Linked DNA regions of Oryctolagus cuniculus. The protein of the gene in region 1 interacts with the protein of each later gene in a biochemical or structural test. Links are inferred from orthologs where the notes say so. Each region holds a gene or a part of one and is shown on either strand. Other genes may lie near its edges. The genes, in order: MAP3K2 and SMYD3.

Evidence for each region.
Region 2: the proteins of MAP3K2 (region 1) and SMYD3 are reported together in a solved structure, tested with the Homo sapiens proteins (2 studies listed by BioGRID and IntAct, with this or other methods). The link is inferred for Oryctolagus cuniculus from reciprocal best matches to the Homo sapiens genes MAP3K2 and SMYD3.

What each region holds. Positions count from the first base shown.
Region 1 is NC_091434.1:122,237,206-122,241,023, forward strand, and holds part of MAP3K2 (mitogen-activated protein kinase kinase kinase 2), read left to right. Parts: intron 1-3,052; coding exon 3,053-3,166; intron 3,167-3,555; coding exon 3,556-3,643; intron 3,644-3,818. UniProt on the Homo sapiens protein: Component of a protein kinase signal transduction cascade. Regulates the JNK and ERK5 pathways by phosphorylating and activating MAP2K5 and MAP2K7. Plays a role in caveolae kiss-and-run dynamics.
Region 2 is NC_091444.1:66,465,677-66,469,594, reverse strand, and holds the start of SMYD3 (histone-lysine N-methyltransferase SMYD3), read left to right. Parts: upstream 1-1,519; 5' UTR 1,520-1,618; coding exon 1,619-1,782; intron 1,783-3,918. UniProt on the Homo sapiens protein: Histone methyltransferase. Specifically methylates 'Lys-4' of histone H3, inducing di- and tri-methylation, but not monomethylation. Also methylates 'Lys-5' of histone H4.

The DNA.
Region 1 (3,818 bases):
TTGAGAAAGTAAAAATCCATAACCCAAACATTTAATATCCACAAAGGGACGAGTACTATACTATAGTGATGCCTTGCAGTTTCTTTTTTTTTAAGATCTGTTTATTTATCTGAGAGGCAGAGTTACAGAGAGGCATAGGCGGAGAGAGAGAGAAAAAAGTCTTCCATCCGCTATTTCACTCCCAAAATGGCCACAACCACCAGAGCTGGGTTGATTGGAATCCAGGATCCAGGAGCTTCTTCCGGGTCTCCCATGCTGGTACAGGAACCCAAGGACTTGGGCCATCTTCTACTGCTTTCCCAGGCTATAGCAGAGAGCTGGATTGGAAATGGAGCAGCCGGAACTCACACTGGCACCCATATGGGATACCAACTCCACAGGTGGATGCGTAACTTACTACACCACAGCTCCAGGCCCTAAGGAAAATCTTACAAGAGGTGTTAGTTTTGTGTACCTGTAGACAAATAAAAAATTCATGTATACTGCATATTATTCCACTTATTTACTTATTTCTGGTACAGTATCATTCATGCTGTTCAAAGTGAACTTTTTTTTTTATTTTTTATTTTTTGGAAAGGCAAAGTTAGACAGTGAGAGACAGAAAGAAAGGTCTTCCTTTTCTGTTGGTTCACCTCCCAAATGGCCGCTACGGCTGGCACACTGCGCTGATCTGAAGCCAGAAGCCAGTGCTTCCTCCTGGTCTCCCTTGCGGGTGCAGGGCTCAAGGACCTGGGCCATCCTCCACTGCAGTCCCAGACCACAGCAGAGAGCTGGACTGGAAGAGGAGCAACCGGGACAGAATCCGGCGCCCCAATCGGGACTAGAACCCGGTGTGCCGGCGCCATAGGCAGAGGATTAGCCTAGTGAGCTGCAGTGCTGGCCCAAAATGAACTATTACCGTATAAACTTATGGTTCACCAGAATTGAAATAACCAGGAATTTGAAGCTTGAATGGATTTGTTTTTTCTAGTAAGATGCTGACTGTAGTTGTTCTTGTGGGAGATTTTCTGAACTCTTTCTCAGTTTAGATGAGAACAAGAAAATCTATGGGCTATTTTCATATTTCACTGTGTAAAGTCAAGAAGATAATTCACTTATTTCAAATTTAAGTTCTATTCCTTGTGTTCTTGAACTAATTTTTTTTCTTTTGTGGAAAGGATTTATATTAACATAACATATCAAAAATTAGCTGAAGGGAGATTGCGTGAATAATACTGAAATGAATTTGTGAAGCATGAAAATTCTGTTTTATTTACTATAATTTAGATAAGCCAGGACTTGTTCTTGACTCTCATTCTGGATTTTACTGTTTGTAATAGGTGACCTTAGAACATAGGGATAATCACATCAGGACTATAAAAAAGATGATTAATGAGAGGAGCAAAATTGCCCATTTGATTCATAACTGGTAGGAGAAGGAAAGGAATTTATTAAGCAGATAAATAGATCAGACTTGTGTAATATTAGTTAATAATTATTTTTTCATTAGGAACAAATTCTTAAAAGGAAAACAGAGTCCAGTGGCTGGGTAACTTGTAGTATGAAATTAGCCTCAGACAGAAGTTGGGACTTAGGTTGTAGGTGTTGAGTTAGTAAATGTGAGCAGACTGTGTGATGGAATTCATGGTAGTCCTTTGTGGTTCTTAAAACAAGGGTGTTTCTCATAAAGAAATCATAGAGAATGAATGTATGCCCTGCTAGTTAGTGGGTTTGGATGTACATCAAACTTTCACCTTTCACCTCTGGGTTATCTATCTGTTTATTTTTTAAGATGTATTTATTTATTTGAAAGACAGAGAAAGAGATCCATCTTCCATCTACTGTTTCACTCCCCAAATAGCTGCAGTTGGCTGAGTCTGAGTCTGACTGAAGCCAGTGCCTGGAACTCCATCTGGGTCTTCCACGTGGGTGGCAGGGGCCCAAGCACTTGAACCATCTTCTGCTGCTTTCCCAGGCATGTCAGCAGGAAGCTGGATCAGAAGTGGAGCAGCCAGGATTTGAACCAGTGCTATATGGGATGCCAGTGTCATAGGATATGGCTTAACCCACTGTTCCTGAAGTGCCTTCTTCCCCTACATGATATTTATTAAATAACATTTACCAAGTCTTTTCTCTTTGCTGTGCTCTGTAGTTATTGCTAATGTGCATAGGTCCTTGTTCACAAGGTATTGTAGGGAATCCCAAACTATGTAGGCCTTCAATTTGAGTGACTCATAGACTCTGCTAATAAGGGCAAGTGGAATACGTTCATTTGTTTACTTCTGTTTGTCTTTCAATAAAGTTGAATGTACTTTGGAGTTATTGACAGTCTTCTTGAACTACTAAGTTGACATTTTAAAAGTATTTTTGAGTTTCTTAAAATGTATGCATCATACTTTTTCTCACAGACCTCTTTGGTGCTTTTGTCCTCTGTAATAGCTGATCCATGAGACAATTGATGAAAGCAGATTTCCACATTTAGAGTTGATGGGATGACTGACCCATTTGGTTTCTTGCAAGAACAGTGCTCAGGCCAGCAGGGTCAGAGAGGCAAACCCCAGGTGGACTGCAGATGGCATGTAGGTTGCTTGTGGCAGTTCTCTATGGCAGCTGTCACAGATGCTGTGGGTGTTGGTGTGTCAAGGAGCGCACTGGGCATGAGCGCAAATCTGTGTTTACTATTGGAAAAAGCACTGAGAGTTTCATCTGTGCAGATGAAAAATCATACCTTTATTTTATACAGTTTGTGTTGTACTCCTTAATGTCATTTGGGGATGAATATTTTGTAAGTTATATTTGGCAATATTGTGGAAGAATCTTAGAAAATTAATCTTTATGTAATTAACAGCTAAATTTAAAAATATTTAGCTGTATCTATTCTGAGATTTTACTGGTAGCAGCATGGGGAGAGCAAAACAATATAGAGTCATGTGCTTATTCAGACTGTCATTGTAGTAACAAATCAAAGAGCAAGGTATTTTGAAATTTTTAATGCCCTAGTAATGGGGATAACCATGGGAGAGCTTGACCTGATGAGATGGCTGTATGATTCTTTATGTTCCTTTTTGTTTAGTTGGTAATTCCACTAACTACCCAAGATGACTTGGATAAAGCTGTGGAACTGTTGGATCGTAGTATTCATATGAAGAGCCTCAAAATATTGCTTGTAATAAATGGTAATGCACAGGTAGGAATTGGAATTTTTTCTTAATAATTGTGGGATTTAAGCCTATAAAATCCAATGTTTGAAATAGTTACATTATGTAATCATCACTGTATTTTCAATATGAATAAATGTAAAAGTACACACTTTAATTGCTATTGTTTCAATAACTTTGCTCTTCAAAACTACAAGTCAAAAATTACAAATAAGTATAATATTTTGAGTATGTGAAGCTAACAGAAACTGACAGTTTGGGAAGAATTATGTTAGAATAAAAGTTTCAAAGAGTGTAAGGTTTGCTAAGGCCCATAAACAATATAGAATAGCTAGATTGTGTTTGGTAGGGAAGAGGATTCTATTTAAAAGTCCTGAAGGGGAAGAATAACATTAAAATTGTCACTTATCCTCTGTAGGCTACTACTGTAGAACCATTAACATCACTAGAAGATTTGGATAACACAGTATTTGGAGCAGAAAGGAAAAAACGACTGTCTGTGATAGGTAAGAAAGCTGGTATCTGAATCATTGAGCACTCTAATTAACCCAGCAGCCATCAGACCAGTAAATTTGTCTTTAACTCATTGGATTGTTGAGAGAACTCTTGTAAAGTACTCTATACTGCTGACTCTGGAAAGCATGACTACTCTTAGTTGTGCATTTCTTTATCTGTTTCTTA
Region 2 (3,918 bases), on another chromosome or scaffold:
AATACTTTCATAGAACTTATCCTCATCACTTCACCAGGCATTATTATCTTCCTTGCACAGATAATAAACAGACTTGGAGAAAGGCCATATTGCAGAACTGAGACTCAAATTCTGGTCCACGGCTTTCTTTACTTCACCTTGGCCACTTGTTGGCTACTCCAGCAAATTTCCAAAGTTTGTCTCTCCAGTGCCAGAGTATTGCCCACAGCATTACTTACTAATATTACTTTATTAGTATTGAATTTTATTACTAATATTACTTTATTAGTATTAGTATTGCATTGTAATACTTTATTAGTATTTATTAGTAATACTTTATTAGTATTATAGTAGTACTAGTGACAAAGGTGAAATGAACCTTGACAAGACAGAGCTAACAGAAGCAGCTGTAGTCTGTCGATGCAATTGACTACAATGCAATGACTACATTGATTGCAATGTCTCAATTAGTTTTATCAATAGTGGGGCAACTTGATATTGTGCACTTTCAGATGTAATATAATGCAATACAAAGTAAACAATATCATGTACAAGGAAAAAAAAAGTTTTCATTGAATCCAGTCAGGCCTCTAGGCTCTTACATCTAGATTTAGCCTACAGTGAACAGGAAATACAAGAGCAAGTTAAATGACACCAGGAAAATACAAAACTCCTAGCTTAGACTCTGCAGAGTCCATGTCAGAAAAAGTGCATGACCTTTGATTGGATCCTGGTTTAAAAAACCTTCCAAAAACAGTTGCAAAAGGCATTCATCCTTTTTTCTTTTTTCTTTCTTTCTTTCTTTCTTTCTTTCTTTCTTTTCTTTTTTTTTTTTTTTTTTTTACAGGCGGAGTGGATAGTGAGAGGGAGAGAGAGAGAAAGGTCTTTCTTTGCCGTTGGTTCACCCTCCAATGGCCGCCGCGGCCGGTGCACCGCGCTGATCCAAAGCCAGGAGCCAGGTGCTTATCCTGGTCTCCCATGCGGGTGCAGGACCCAAGCACCTGGGCCATCCTCACTGCACTCCTGGGCCACAGCAGAGAGTTGGCCTGGAAGAGGGGCAACCGGGACAGAATCCGGCAGCAAAAGGCATTCTTCAAGTGAATACGGTTCTGCTTGCTACTATAATTTTCTTAGGTGTGATAGTGATCTTGTATTTTATAAAACAGTGTTCTCATTCTGAGGTAATGCCAGTTAAGGTGTTTGATGTGAGGTAAAGCGCACCTTTCGAATGGTTCAACTGTACAGACTGACGTACAGATCGAGAGAGCGAGCAGAGACAGCAACATGCGAACAGGCTGATGCAGGTTGAGCGTACACAGGTGTTCACAGCATTACTTTTTCAACTTTTCCTATGTTTTACAATGACCATAATCAACAGAGCAGAAAAAAATGCCGCCTTTCTGGGCGGAGCCACCTCGCGCACCCGCCGTCGGGAGAGCAGTCGGAGCGCTGAGCAGCTCGCGCGCTGCCGCCGGCTCCCTTGGAGACGCGGTCTGGGCATGCTCAGAGGCCCCGCCGCGCCCGCCCCGCCCCTCGGGCGTACGTGGGCGCGCAGGGCGCAGGCGCGCGAGTCCTGGCAGCCCGCGAGACGCCAGCTGCGGTACGCGGCCGTCAGCTGAGGTGCGGGAGCCGCGGCACTATGGAGCCGCTGAAGGTAGAAAAGTTCGTGACCGCCCACAGGGGAAACGGGTTGCGCGCCGTGGTCCCGCTGCGCCCCGGAGAGCTGCTGTTCCGCTCGGATCCCTTGGCGTACACGGTGTGCAAAGGGAGTCGGGGCGTCGTCTGTGATCGTTGCCTGCTGGGGTACGTACGCTGCGCCCTCGCCCACCTGAGTCCCCGGCGGTGTGTGGGGTCCGGAGTGCTGGGGGGCCTCTGCCTGGTTGGGGCTGCGCGGGAGCCCGGCGGTGCTGCCGAGATGCCTGGTCCGGCACTCCCCCGGACGCGCGTGTTGCGGGGGGCGGGTCGCCCTGACAGGCCCGGCGCGGAGAGGGTGGAGGGTGTGTCGAGGCCCAAACCCTACCTCTCTGCAAGGTGGAACTGGACCCGCGAGCCGACCGGTCCCCCGAGCTGCGTTGGGAATTAGGGGCAGACTGGACGGGGATAATTTTGCTGGAGAACAAAAAGTCTACATCATGTGTGACAAGCTTCGTTGGGACAACTGTGGAACTGACTAGTGCAGGGGTGGGTGTCAGTGCGGCTCACAGCCGAGTCCCCACCGGGAAAGAATGGGGCTTGCAGGGAGGCTGAAGAATCCTGGTGAGGAGGGTGCACTTCTGTTATTGGTTCTGTGTGGCCTGCGAACACGAAGATGGACTGGACGTTGTTTGGAATCTTTAAGCAGCAGATCAAGTGGGAAGGATAATTACAGTGTATCAGAAAGGCAGAAATAGAGATGCAGTTACTGTGCTATGGGAGCGTTTGTAAGTTACTGGGGTTCCTTAGTGTGCTTTGCCATATCCTTGCCGTGCGGGAAAGTCTAACTCTGAACCACCTGTCCAGGTGCAAGAATTCACGTGAGTGTTTAGGTAGCCTGGCAGCACAGTGCCATTGAAAAGCGCTATGGGAAAGCAGTTTATGGGAGTGTGTAACACATGCAGCGGTAGGAATTGCGTTCAATGCTATTGAGTTTTTGTTGAGTTTCTGCCTGCAACTGAGAAGAGCTCTGTTTTGAGATGGGTAGGATGATTGCTTTTCCAGACCTGTCAGGCTGGGATTGAGTTAGGGAAGTACGTGCAAAGCTCAGATCTGTAGCTTGACTTTTACTCTCACTAGGTCCCTATGTGATCCATAATTGAGGAATCTGTTTAATTTGAATTTGAAGGTTATCAAATAATAGTTGTATTTGCTGATTTCTGAAAAAGTGTTGATGACAAAAATCCATTTGGGAAGGAGCACATTGTGTGATTAAGAACAATTCATTCCTTTCAAGACTTTGCTGAAGGCTGTCGTTTAACTTCATAGATCTTTGATTATCCTTCAGGCAAATTGAGAAATTGGCCTGTGTATTCTGTTGCATCCTTTGGAGTATATGCTGAGTTTTACTGTAGTCCAAAATAGAGAACTTGCTGTTTAAGTCCTATCATATTAATTGGTGAATAGAATGTGGGCCACTTTGGTAATAAAATCAGGCTAACACTTTATTTAGTACCTGGAATAGAAATGTTTTGGAATGAGTGAATGGTGACAAATTAGTAACTATTGTCAGAGCTTCACTTCAGTCATAAAACACATGGAATTGTCCATTTTCCAAATAAACTACACAGTGTTTTTGTGGGCAGGATGCTTCTTGATTTGCCTTATTATTATTATTATTATTTTTTTTTTGACAGGCAGAGTGGACAGCGCGAGAAAGAGAGACAGAGAAAGGGCTTCCTTTGCCGTTGGTTCACCCTCCAATGGCCGCCGTGGCAGGTGCGCAGTGGTCGGCGCACTGCGCTGATCCGAAGGCAGGAGCCAGGTGCTTCTCCTGGTCTCCCATGGGGTGCAGGGCCCAAGCACTTGGGCCATCCTCCACTGCACTCCCGGGCCACAGCAGAGAGCTGGCCTGGAAGAGGGGCAACCGGGACAGAATCCGGCGCCCCGACCGGGACTAGAACCCGATGTGCCGGCGCCGCAAGGTGGAGGATTAGCCTATTGAGCCGCGGCGCTGGCGCCATATTATTTTTTTAAAGATTTATTTATTTATCTGAGAAGTGGAGTTACAGAGAGAGGGAGAGACACAGAGAGAGGTTTTCCATCCACTAGTTCACTTCCCAAATGGCTGCAACAGCCAGAGCTGTAGGAAGAGATATCAGAGAAGGCAACAGTAGTAGTGAAAGGTTTGGGGATAACTGAGAAAGTGCTTGCTAAAGTGACTCTGTCTTAGAGAGAAAGTAGTTTAAAACATTCTTCTAGGAGAGAAGAGAGAGTTGCCTAGTGAAGTTTAGGATTGTTGGAGGA